Linked DNA regions of Cricetulus griseus. The protein of the gene in region 2 binds, or shares a complex with, the protein of the main gene of each other region. Links are inferred from orthologs where the notes say so. Each region holds a gene or a part of one and is shown on either strand. Other genes may lie near its edges.

Region 1 (3,650 bases), on a different chromosome or scaffold from region 2:
TGAACTGAGGACAACAGATGAAAGTAGAAGATTAAAGAATAAGGTGCTTGGAGGAGAAAATGCTGTCTCGTATAAGCAGGATGGTTTTTATGGGTGCAGATATTAGCTGTATTTGGAGGGTTGGCTTGGTACATCGGGACGGCAGGGAAGGAGGGAAACTCCAATTTAATTCATCCCAAGGAAATAGAGTTATATAGTCGGTAATTCATCTTGGCAGAAGGGCTCTGACCTTTAGCTCTTCTTCAAAAGAATTAAAACAATTAATGACTTTTGTGCCTACTAAGACTATGGGCACTCATGGGTCTTTGCTTTCTGCATTAGTCCATATTTCAGTTTTCCAGTAGGCTTTTATTTTGAAACTGTTGTGTGCTATTCAATCTGCTTCACCAGATCCCACTTAGAAATCAGAGAGCAAACCCAAGAAGCACCTAACTTCTCTTACCTGTCTGCTATAAAAATGCTCATGGCAGGACCAAGTCTTCCTTCCAGAAAGCTAGGCAAAGAAAGGGATGTTTTCCATCAAGAACAGTGACTTCTTTCTTGATGTGAATTTTCCTACACACTGCTTAAGGCACACAGAGAAAGCTATGATGGAGCAGGTGTGTTTTATTGGAGGCTGGTACAATTATGTTCCAAAACACAAACTACCTTAGGGTTTGTTAAACTGGGTGACTATGTTAGTGATCATGTAGTTCTCTGGTTTGACCCCATAGATAACAAGATTGTCTCGCATTTGTTGGTGGCTGAACCAGAGAAGATCTATGCCATGCCTGACCCTACTGTTCCCGACAGCGACATCAAAGCCCTCACAACACTCTGTGACTTGGCTGACCGAGAGTTGGTGGTTATCATTGGATGGGCAAAACATATTCCAGGTAAGTTCTCTGAAAACCCAAAAGAAACACAAAGGCTGCAGTTGCCTCCAGGTTTATATGCACCATAGGAGGAAAATGTACCTTTTTTGTGGTATTATTTCTTAACCATCACTTTGTTGTTTGCACTTAATTCAGTACTCATTGTCTTGTGGCAGAGCATTATATAGCAGTAACCATTCTACCTATGCACTGTCTTGAAGTCTCTTCACCATTCATTTCATATTTGAAGGCATTAGTTGCCCACATTAAATAAAGACCGTACAATCCATAAAACCATTTCTTAGTTATAGTGGTAATTCTTATCTTTTTCCTGATGAAGATAATTCTGTATTTTTCACTATTGTTTTCAGCACTGGGCTAATGTCCCCTTTGCTTCTAAGAATCATCCATCTTGTTCTTTCATATCATATCATATCATATCATATCATATCATATTGCATTGGTTTTCTCATTATGATCACAAATTTTACATTAATTTGCAATCAGATATTTATGATGAATCTAAATACAAAATGAAATGATAGACTAAGATGGTGGATTTTTCCCATTTGCTGATTTCAAGTTAGTGTTTTATTACATTTCTTTTTTGACCCATTATGTAATATATAATATACCTGGCCACATATTTTGAAAATGTTAGTATTGTGTCTGAACTTGATTTCATTTCCTTGGACTTTTATTTTCAAATAGTTCATAAAGAAGTTTTCGAATGACAAGAAATGTTTTTCTGGCACACACGGTTAACTTATTTCCGTCTTCTTAAACTAGTTTGTCTTTATGCTTTGAATGCTACAGTAATTTCTTTAATCAAATTGATGGAAGTCCCTTTCCCAGCCCACACTGAAACCAATTTATTGGTCATGATACGCCAGCCATGTCGCTAACAGTCGTAACGAACTGTCAGGCAGTATAGCGGTGAAGCTAATTTGAAGTCATTAGGTGTGCAGCGCTCAGGCAACAATTTGTTACAGTGGGTTAGGGACACAGCTGACATTTCTGAATAGCTTTGTTCAGGGCAGTTCTAGATGAGACCAAGCAAATTGTAAACTAATTTAAACATCACTCTGTATTATACCGGCTACTTTGTCTTACACTGTTTGCTAATAAAGCTCTCCAAATTAAGTCAGAACTAGTTAGTTAAATGGGTAACTTGAATGTATGCTTTGGAAAACACCCGCACAAGAATAACAATATCTAAAAGAATACAGTCTGGTCCTGTGGCTACATGATGTTGTATTTAGGTTACAATCACACCTATATGGATTGCCTAAAAAGATGTTTGGAGGAAGAAATTCACAAAGCATCAGATGGCTGGGTGTGGTGTTCTAGCATTCCGGAGGCTGAGGCTGGAGGATTAGCCTTGACTGTGTAATGAAAGCCTATCACAGGGAAGAAAAGCTAGGCAGCAGATTTGTCTGGATTGTAAATGAAAATTTCTTTGGAAAGAAGGTGCTATTGGTGGTCAGGTTACAGCAGAGAGACAAAACTCACAGTTTCTGAAAATATGTCTATGGACACATTTTTCCATAATCAACATAGATCATACACATGATATCCCATTGTTATATATACTTCTAGGCACAGTTTTTCTATTTTAATGTTTTTAATTTAAGTAAAATTACATCACTTCTCCCCTCCCTTTACCCTTAGCCCTTCCCAATTACTCTCTTTTGGTCTCTTCCCATAACCCCAACTTTCAAGTAAATAACCTTTTTCTTTATTATTATCACACACACATGCACATACATGTATATTAAATATAGTTATTATAACCCATGGTTACTCATCGTGGCACTATGGATATTTGGTACTAGAAAATTCTGTTCTAGCTGACTTTTCTATTTATTATGGGATGCTTAATGGCATCCTTAGCGTCTACCCATTAGATGCCAGTAGTACCCTTAACAAATAAACAAACAAACAAACAAACAAAAAAACCTATTCTCCAACATGCCTGGAAACAATTCACACCAAGCTGCCTACCCCAACCCTCCCCACTGAGAACCACAGTCCAACCCAGGATATTTATTCCCCTCTATTCAAGGGCAGAGTGATTTGTGGCAAAGAGAAATTCAAGCACTCCTATAAGTTCATGGATGTTTCTAGAACCTTCAAGTCACATTTAAGCCCAGTGTGACTCATAACACCATTGCCAAAACCCAGGACTAGCTAGGTTGAGATAGGACAAGCACCACAGTTTGGAATAGACTGGGCTAAATTGTGTATTTCAGACCAGTCTGTGTAAGAGTAAGACTGTGTCTCAAAAACATGGAAGCATGCATGTGCTCCCCAGCAACCATGTAAAAGCTAGGCATGGTGGCACGTATCTGTCATCCCAGTCATGGATTTGGAGACAGGGGGATCTTGGGAAATTGGTCACTAGTCTAAGTAAACCAGTGGGCTTCAGATTCAATGAGAGTTGCTAGCTTAAAAAAATGGTGGAGAGCCATAGAGGAAAACACTCAGCATTGCCCTCTGGATTCCATGCCCCCTGCCATAAACACAAACAAACAACAGCAGTGTGAATCCTGCCATCATGAAGCCGAATCACCTATCATTCCCCTGAGCTCTGCTCGTCTCCCTGAGTTAAGAGATTTATTAAGGCAATGTTTTGATACCATCCAGGATTGTCACAATAAAGACCAGCTATAAAAAAATATATAGCAACTTCTCCCAAGCCCCATGGTTAGGAAAGGTCAGAGGTGACTTAGCAGCCCTGATTGTGCATCTAAGTGGAGATGAAGGCTTACAAAGCAGCCTGCTGGAGTCATGGCC
Region 2 (4,285 bases):
AGTGCTCTAGTTCTCTCTGTTCAACTGATATTTAATTAAAGATCTTGGAGGCCATCTTTTAGGCTACACGTTACAAGGAGGAGCATTACTTCCTCCTTGGACAATGTGCTGCGCCACATGGCAGAGGCTGCCTCCCTAAGGTGTCCTGTTCAACAGACTGCTCTCTTGCATAGCCACCACCAGCAGGACAGATAATCACTCTGTTTCACATGGCCTGATTCTCACATAGTTGAACCCCAATTCAACTACTGTCTACATTCTCTCTGACCTTTTCAGTGTCTAGAATTTTGTAGTGGCAATACTCCTCCCTCTATATTTTTTAATCATTGCTTTTGTTTCCCTAGAACCACAAAAGGTACTGAGAACACTTATTTCGTAATATTTCTTGAATCTCTGAAAACAGAAAATCTTTTAGCAGTCACAGCCACCCCTAAAGCTCACGCTTAGAAGGCTCTGCCTTACATTTCTGAATTAATATCTTTTGGAGGCCAGCCCACTTGAGTTGATATGTCATAATTTTCTATTCTGAAGGTGGCGTGGATAATTTAAATTGGCCCTTGCTGTTTATGACTTAAGTAATTGTTCTTTTGGACAGCCTTTAGGAAGCCTCAACTTCTCAAATCATGTTTGGACCATGCAGCAACCATAAGGGACCTGGGGATGGATGTAAGCAAACTCCAGGAGCCATAAACTAACAAGCAGACTCTAGGTGGTGGTATAGGTTATTTTTTATCACAATGTTTTGCTCTTAAAACTGGAGGACCCAGAGCAGCCCTAGCCTCAGCCACAAACACTTCTCCACTGCTAACTCACAATATTTCCGGATAGCTCAATTAGAAAAGTACAAGTTTAACAAAGTTTGGAAAACACAGGTTCTCAAGCTTCTCATGGGTTTTAAACCTGATGTTCCACGGTCTCAAAGGCAGCACAGGGACTCTCATCTGTGTAAAGGCAGCCACCGAACTAACTGCCCTCCTTATTTACTTCTTACCTGTTTTCCTCAAGCTCCTCCTGTACTTTGCAGGCTAACTTTGCAAAGAAATCTCCCCACCGGAGTACAAAGTGGCCTGGAGTAAGTATCCAGTCCTAGACTAAGCAGTAGTGCCTGCTATGTTACTGCTTCTCCTTTGTCTATAGGAACTAAGTAAGACCAAGCCTAGAAAGTTCCTATTGGTGTTGAAGCCAGGCTCCCTGAGTCAATTAAACCCTATGGTCATTACCAAACTGCTGGGCAAAACCAGGGCAACTAAGTCACTTGGAAGTAAAAGGACATTTCAACACACCCAGGCAGCAGCCACATTTAGGGGCCATGCGCATGAAGCACTGTTTGCTTAAAAAGTAGACTTACTTCACTGTCTCTTAGACAAAGGTGGCAAACTGGTGACTGAACATTGAATAACAGCATCGGGAAGGTGCCGCCCACTTGGTAAAACCTATGATTCACTAATAAGCAGGTTCAATGTAATTCATAACTTTAAAGAATGAATTCCTGAAGCCCCTTGCTTTACAAAACCCAGGAAATACGAAGACTATACATCATTTACGCATGTATAGGTGTGTACACAGACACAGACAGGCAGGCACACCGATCTTGTTTTACTTTGAGACAGTCTCTCTCTTCCTCTAAAACACGGTTTTCCCTCAGTGTCACAATCATTTACATTAGCAGACAAACTCAAGCCTGATGTCACAAAAATGAGTTAAAAGTTCTTGCACCTAAGAACGTAGGGACTTTACCACCAACTAAAATGACACACTAATTTTTAAAAAGTATCTTAACATAAAATTACCTAACGTTCTGTTCTTCGTTTACGACCGCCAGAATCCAATTAAATTACTGACATGATGGAAGGTAGAAACTCCTGGAATGCCTCAGAGATCAACATGTGTCAGGCTCACCGCCTGTCCGCCTTTTAAACACAGTGGATTCCTTTGTTCCTTCAGTCTGAACATCAACTCCTGATTAAAATTTGGAAACTACTTTGGGAAGGATGGGGGTGGGGGTCCGGAGAGTGTTGCCACGGACGAGGGTTTCCTCAAACCGGAGTAAGGAGGAGAGTGGCACAAGAGAGAAGAGCGTCTCCGAGGACTTCAGCAGGCTCACACTAAACGCAAAGCCCGCTCTCGGATGCTGGGGAAAAACTAGGCTGAGGCCTCCGGTGCAAGGAGCCTCGCCCTCCCTCGGCAGGCGGGGACCTGGTGCCCAGCAGGCCGGGCCTGGGGCTCAGCGCTGTCCCTGTCCGAGTCACTTTTCCCTGCCGGGAATCGGCGAGCACCGCGCAGGGAGGCACCAACTAAAGGCGGGGAGCAGCGCGGGCGCCACCGCGGGCACCGCTGGGCGGCAGGACCGAGCGGCGCAGCAGCCAGCGCCCGGGGCTCGGGGCCAACAGGAGCAGCCGAGCGGGCTCGACCCGGGCCCCGCCACCCGGCCACCCGCGTGGGTCCCGGCTCAGCACACCCAGGGAGGCTGCGCCCCTCGCGCCACGGCTGGCACGGACGATCCCACGGCTGGGAACTCTACAACTTGGCGGCCGCGTCGGCGCGGGGGGGGGGGGCGGCCGCGAGTTCCCGGGGAGACCCGGAGCCGGGCGCGGCGGCAAGCTGTCCCCGGGATCCGTGTGGCCGGCGTCCCCCGTGGGCCTCCCCGGCCTCCGCCGCCTCCCCGGGCCGGTCACCCAGGCCGTGCCCGGGTGGCTCGGCGTCCGCTCTGCCAGCTCTGCACCGAGCCCGGGCCGCGATCGCCACTCACCGAGGCCGCCTCGGCTCCGGGCCGCCGATCCGCGTCGCTCCCTCCTTCCCGGGTGAGCCGTGCCCTGCGGCCGCGCGAGGCCACGGGCGGTGCGCACGGGCGGGCTGGGGCCGGCTCGTCCTCCGCCTGCACCGCGATCGCCGTCGCCTCCCGAGTTCGGGGCTCTGCTGCAATGTCTGCGAGGCTGACTTTGAGCGCCTCGCTCGCCGCCCGCCCGCCGCAGCCGCGCTCCTCCCTCCGCCGCCGAGTTCGCGGCGGCCGGGTCCCTCCCCTCGCTGCTCCACGCCATTCAGCTCTTCAGCCAAGTTTCTTAACCCTTTTCTGCCCCTCCCTCCCATTGTCACCCGGGTTGATCGCGTACCCGGCGGCTCGCTGGAGCTGGGGAGCCTATCCGGCTCCTGCAGGCCTCCTCTCCGGTGCTCCGGGTGGGAGACCCGGGGCTGCGCGGCCTTGAAGGTAGAGAGAGGACACAGTTCGACCGGGAAAGGGGGGTGCCTTGCTCTCCGAGCAGGAGCCCTGGCTTTCCGGCCCCGTCCAGCCGCCTGGACAGATTGTCCCTAGGGACCAGGTGATCGTCCATGTCACCCAGGCTTGGGCAAGCGTTGTGAGCACCGCAGAGGAATAAAGACACCCTGACCCTTCCCTGGGGTCTCCACCTAGGGGCTGGCACCTTAAGGGTCTCCCTTCCTCCCATTTCACCCACAGCACGCGTTCTCTTGACTGCCTTTTACCCACCCTAATTTCCACCTCCTAGAAATCTGTGTCCCGCTTAAAATCAGGAAGGACGGCGCTATAACTCTAGGTCATTTTGACCCCATGCCCACAGCACCTAGTAGGACCCAGTAATTAATGTGGCGTGATTCCAAGCGGAAAACTGGGAAGGAGACCTGAGGAGTGCCCAGCTCAGCTCCCTAGACGGACGCAGGACCCAGGAACCGGGTTTATCTTCAGCTGCTTTGTCACTGCGAAGTCTCCAGCAGGGTCTGTCGGGCCATCTGCACCACCCCCAGGAAGGATCTGACCCAACAGGACTAGGAGATGGGCTGTCACCTCTTTAAGCAGCTGTGCTCGGTTCAGAGTCTCAATAAATAACAATTACATCACGAAGCCAGGGTGGCAGTACAGTGAAACCTGGGTTTCCTGCAGCCTTGTCTTGCTGAACCCGCCTCTAAATTTGAGGGGGGCTACAGATTGGTGAAGCGAAAAAGTGGAGGGAGGAGAGAATAATAAGAAACCATGATCTCGCCCTCTCGTGTTTTCCGCTTTAAAATCCTCTCCTCGCGAACATTACTTGTGAAGACTCCTTCTGACGCCCCTCCCCACCCAGATGTCACGTTTCCTTTTCACTTTAGTATCTCTCCATGAAAAGAATTACCAGCGGAAAAAGAGTGGTTGTAAAAGTTGGTTTTATTTGACATAAAAAAAAAAACAAAAAACTGAAGTACATTTTCACTTCACCCTGAACTGTAAAGTGGTATGGCTGCGTTAAAATACTCACTGGATAAGACAAATTTGTGGATGAAGGTATCTACTGTC
Region 3 (3,279 bases), about 160 Mb from region 2:
TGCTAGACTTTCATTCGCTGAGACCCTTAGTGTAGAAAAAGCTCATTCTTTGGAAGAAAATCACCCCTAGCACTTACTCATTTGGTCTGGTGAATGGCTAAGAGGCTCAAGACACTAGCCAGTTGATCTGAGTTTGACCCCCCCACAGGACCCACATGGTGGAAGAAGAGAACTGACTCCGAGAATTTGCCCATACACACACATAGCATATAAACATACTTGCACACACACAGAGTTGAGATAAATAAATGGCATTCTAAAAACAAAAAGCAATTGACTTACACTCATTCTGTATACTGTGTATAATAGGTACTCCTCTTTCTAGCTGTAGTGCCCTTTCTAACCCGGACTGCCACTCACCTACTTCTCTGTGAGCAAACTTCTTGTTTTCCCACTGAGACAGCCAGGAGGGCTCCAGATGGTGCACTCTGGATTAGGGAGGAGCCCAGAACCTCACCTGGGCTCTGGGGATATGGGGGGGGGGCAAATTTGCATATGAATACCTCTTTGAGTTAAGTTATTCATATTCAAAATGCATCTGGTGTATTCCAAGTGTCCTACTATAGGACCTCTATCTATCTCTCCCTGCCCCCTCACTGGAGGCTTAAGCAGCAGTAAATGTGTCTTCGCCATGATGAGCAATGTTGTGGAAGTCATCCTGAGTCCTTGATTTTCACTCTTATGACTGCCCTCCCCTGACATCCTGTCCTTTCTCCTGCTTACAGCTAATATGCAAGGTGTCTACGTTAAGAGCCTTATGTGGACGACATACAGAAAAGCTAATGGCATTTAAAGCAATATACCCAGACATTGTGCGACTCCATTTTCCTCCATTATACAAGGAATTGTTCACTTCAGAATTTGAGCCAGCAATGCAAATTGATGGGTAAATGTAGTACCCGAGCACTTCTAGAACAACTGAAGTACAAACATGAAAGAAAAAAAAAAAGGAAATAAAACAATGACAACGAAGACAAAATTAACTGAGACACTTTCTATGGCCCTGCACAGCCCTGGAGCGCCAACACACTGCACAGACATCTTGTGGTGATCGGGGTTCAGGCACAGAGGGAAAACAATGAGAACCAATAAAAGCTAAACTTGTTTTGCTCATGCATATGGTTTCCACTATGCCTACAGATACGGACCCTTTTCTGTCTCGACTTCTAAAGCGGTTGACCTCTGCAAGTGGAGGGTACTACAGTCAGAGAAGTCCCTTTTCTTATAGCTCACTGCCCACAGACTCTTACGGGTAACAACAGAGTCCAGCAGTAATCGGTGACCCCGGGATGCATAGCGGGGGTTGCAGCGTTACTTTGCACAGCTTGCTTTTCTGTGTCATGAAGGAAGATTTTGTTTCTCTCACCGATTATTGCCGGTCAGCGGGATGGCGTGAAAAGGGGATCCATAGCGCTCGCAACAATAGCATTATAATATATTACACAGGGTAAATGGGCATGAAGACTATATATAGCTAAAGAGATATTGTTTATATATTGTTTTAATTAATATAAAATGTAGTGACTGGCGTAGCTTTTCCTGTTGAATTGATAAGGCACTTTCCGTTTTGCACCTTTTGTTTTCTTTAAATTAAATGCTAGCGTGTTCACTGTCGCCGTGTCGCATGTACACCAGAAACACAAGTTTAGCTGAGAAGGCTTGGAAGGTACGTCGGGAGGTATTTATGCTGCTGTTTACAAAAAAAGAAAAACAAAAAACAAAAAAAAAATTACTTTTGAAAGACTGGCTGGTCATATCCAGAAATCAACATGTTGAATTTCTTTTCCCACCTGTAAATTTGGAATTAACGGATCATACTTTGTTTTGCATGCAATTAAGAATGGGTGTGTTTATGCTTCATACAGAGTCAAAAGAGTATCTGGTGCTGTGGGCTTAAACCATATGTGCATTTTTTTAAGTTTTTAAGATGCCACCTTTGGGAAGTGAAGGAGGAGAGATTTTCATTTGACATAATTCAGTAGTCACAGGGACACAGTATCAACTCGGAATTCTGATGCTTAGAACATATTAGTAACCAGAATGTTTATTGGACTGTAGCTCTTATTTAGAAGCACCCAAAGACTCTATGTGGAGCAAACACACTCCCCACAGTCATTGAATGCCTTATGTTCTTGGCATCAGGAGCCCTAAGAATTCATCTCAGAGAAAACTGACCCTAGACTAGCTGTCCGAGATTCTAGAAATGCTGCTGTCCATATTGGGTAGACAGTGGATGAAGAGGGAGGGAGGCAGTGTTGAACCTGGTTCCTGTATTTAAAATAAGCCTTCAGAGTGAAGGTGATGCCAGCTGCAGACATTTTCTCGTGTGTTTATCCTTCACTAGAAAACTGTGGACTGTAATTTATTTTTTTAAATATTTAGAAAATAGTTTGGCTTTTGTGTTCAGGTAAGAAATATTGAGGTAATCTTGATTAAATTTGCATTTAAAAATAATCCCCAGTGAGCAGAGGAAGGAACAGTCTCATGTTCATAGGTGTGCATGTTTTGAAAGCAAATGCCCTGAGACTAGAAAGATGATGGCTCAATGGTCAAAAGCACTATTGCTCTATCAAAGGACCAAAGCCTGGAACCCAGCAATCAGATCATGCAGCTCAAAAGAGCCTGTAACTCCAGCTCCAAGATACCAGTGTTCCCTATTGGCCTCTGTGGGTGTGGGCATGGGTGTGAGTACACACACACACACACACACACACACACACACACACACACACACACAATGAGAGAGACGGACATAGAAAAAATCAATAAATCCTTTAAAACAAGTGCCCTTTTGAGAAATTAGGAGGCATTTGGGAAATGACTTTGGTCACAAGATACTGGTCTGGCCTCAAAGACCGTATCTGTAAGGAAAAGGGAACATCTTCCATGGCACAAAGTTGGGTGCTTCTTCAAAATCCTATACATCCAATAGCCTCCTCTGCTACTAGGGTCCTTCTAGAATCTTTTGCCAACATTTCTGTTCCTGCTGATGTCCATAGGATGGGTTTACCAGGGCCAGCTTCCCAGAGTACTTCACAATTTTCAACTTCACTGACTTTCTGCCTTATTTACTAAGGGACTTGGAAAGTAGGAAGGAAATATTTGTACAGAAATGTATGGGTGAAGCCTAAATGACATCTGATCTTTGTTTTTTTTTTTTTCCAGAGACATAGTAAGGGTTTAATCATAAACAGGAGAGCAATATTTACTTAAATTTCTTACAAGCATAGAAAATTTTATGTGTTTATATAGAGAGGTTAGCTGTCAGCATATAGTATT

The links.
Region 1: the proteins of Nrip1 (region 2) and Esrrg are in contact, whole or in part, in a crystal structure (PDB 2GPP), measured with the Homo sapiens proteins. The link is inferred for Cricetulus griseus from reciprocal best matches to the Homo sapiens genes NRIP1 and ESRRG. Residues at the interface, in NP_001426204.1 of Homo sapiens: Ser378, Leu379, Leu380, Leu381, Leu383, Leu384, Lys385, Ser386, Gln387; in NP_001429.2 of Homo sapiens: Val277, Ile280, Lys284, Phe289, Leu294, Gln297, Met298, Leu301, Gln302, Lys448, Leu449, Glu452, Met453.
Region 3: the proteins of Nrip1 (region 2) and Rora are in contact, whole or in part, in a crystal structure (PDB 4S15), measured with the Homo sapiens proteins. The link is inferred for Cricetulus griseus from reciprocal best matches to the Homo sapiens genes NRIP1 and RORA. Residues at the interface, in NP_001426204.1 of Homo sapiens: Thr499, Leu500, Leu501, Gln502, Leu504, Leu505, His507; in NP_599023.1 of Homo sapiens: Gln332, Val335, Lys339, Phe344, Met345, Gln349, Gln352, Ile353, Leu356, Pro505, Leu506, Glu509, Leu510.

Annotation. Positions count from the first base shown.
Region 1 is NC_048598.1:6,689,820-6,693,469, reverse strand, and holds part of Esrrg (estrogen-related receptor gamma), read left to right. Parts: intron 1-692; coding exon of another isoform or gene 693-713; coding exon 714-875; intron 876-3,650. UniProt on the Homo sapiens protein: Orphan receptor that acts as a transcription activator in the absence of bound ligand. Binds specifically to an estrogen response element and activates reporter genes controlled by estrogen response elements.
Region 2 is NC_048597.1:18,834,022-18,838,306, reverse strand, and holds the start of Nrip1 (nuclear receptor-interacting protein 1), read right to left. Parts: upstream 2,880-4,285; 5' UTR 2,750-2,879; intron 2,396-2,749; exon of another isoform or gene 1,791-2,395; intron 1-1,790. UniProt on the Homo sapiens protein: Modulates transcriptional activation by steroid receptors such as NR3C1, NR3C2 and ESR1. Also modulates transcriptional repression by nuclear hormone receptors.
Region 3 is NC_048597.1:180,928,531-180,931,809, forward strand, and holds the end of Rora (nuclear receptor ROR-alpha), read left to right. Parts: intron 1-725; coding exon 726-890; 3' UTR 891-2,713; downstream 2,714-3,279. UniProt on the Homo sapiens protein: Nuclear receptor that binds DNA as a monomer to ROR response elements (RORE) containing a single core motif half-site 5'-AGGTCA-3' preceded by a short A-T-rich sequence.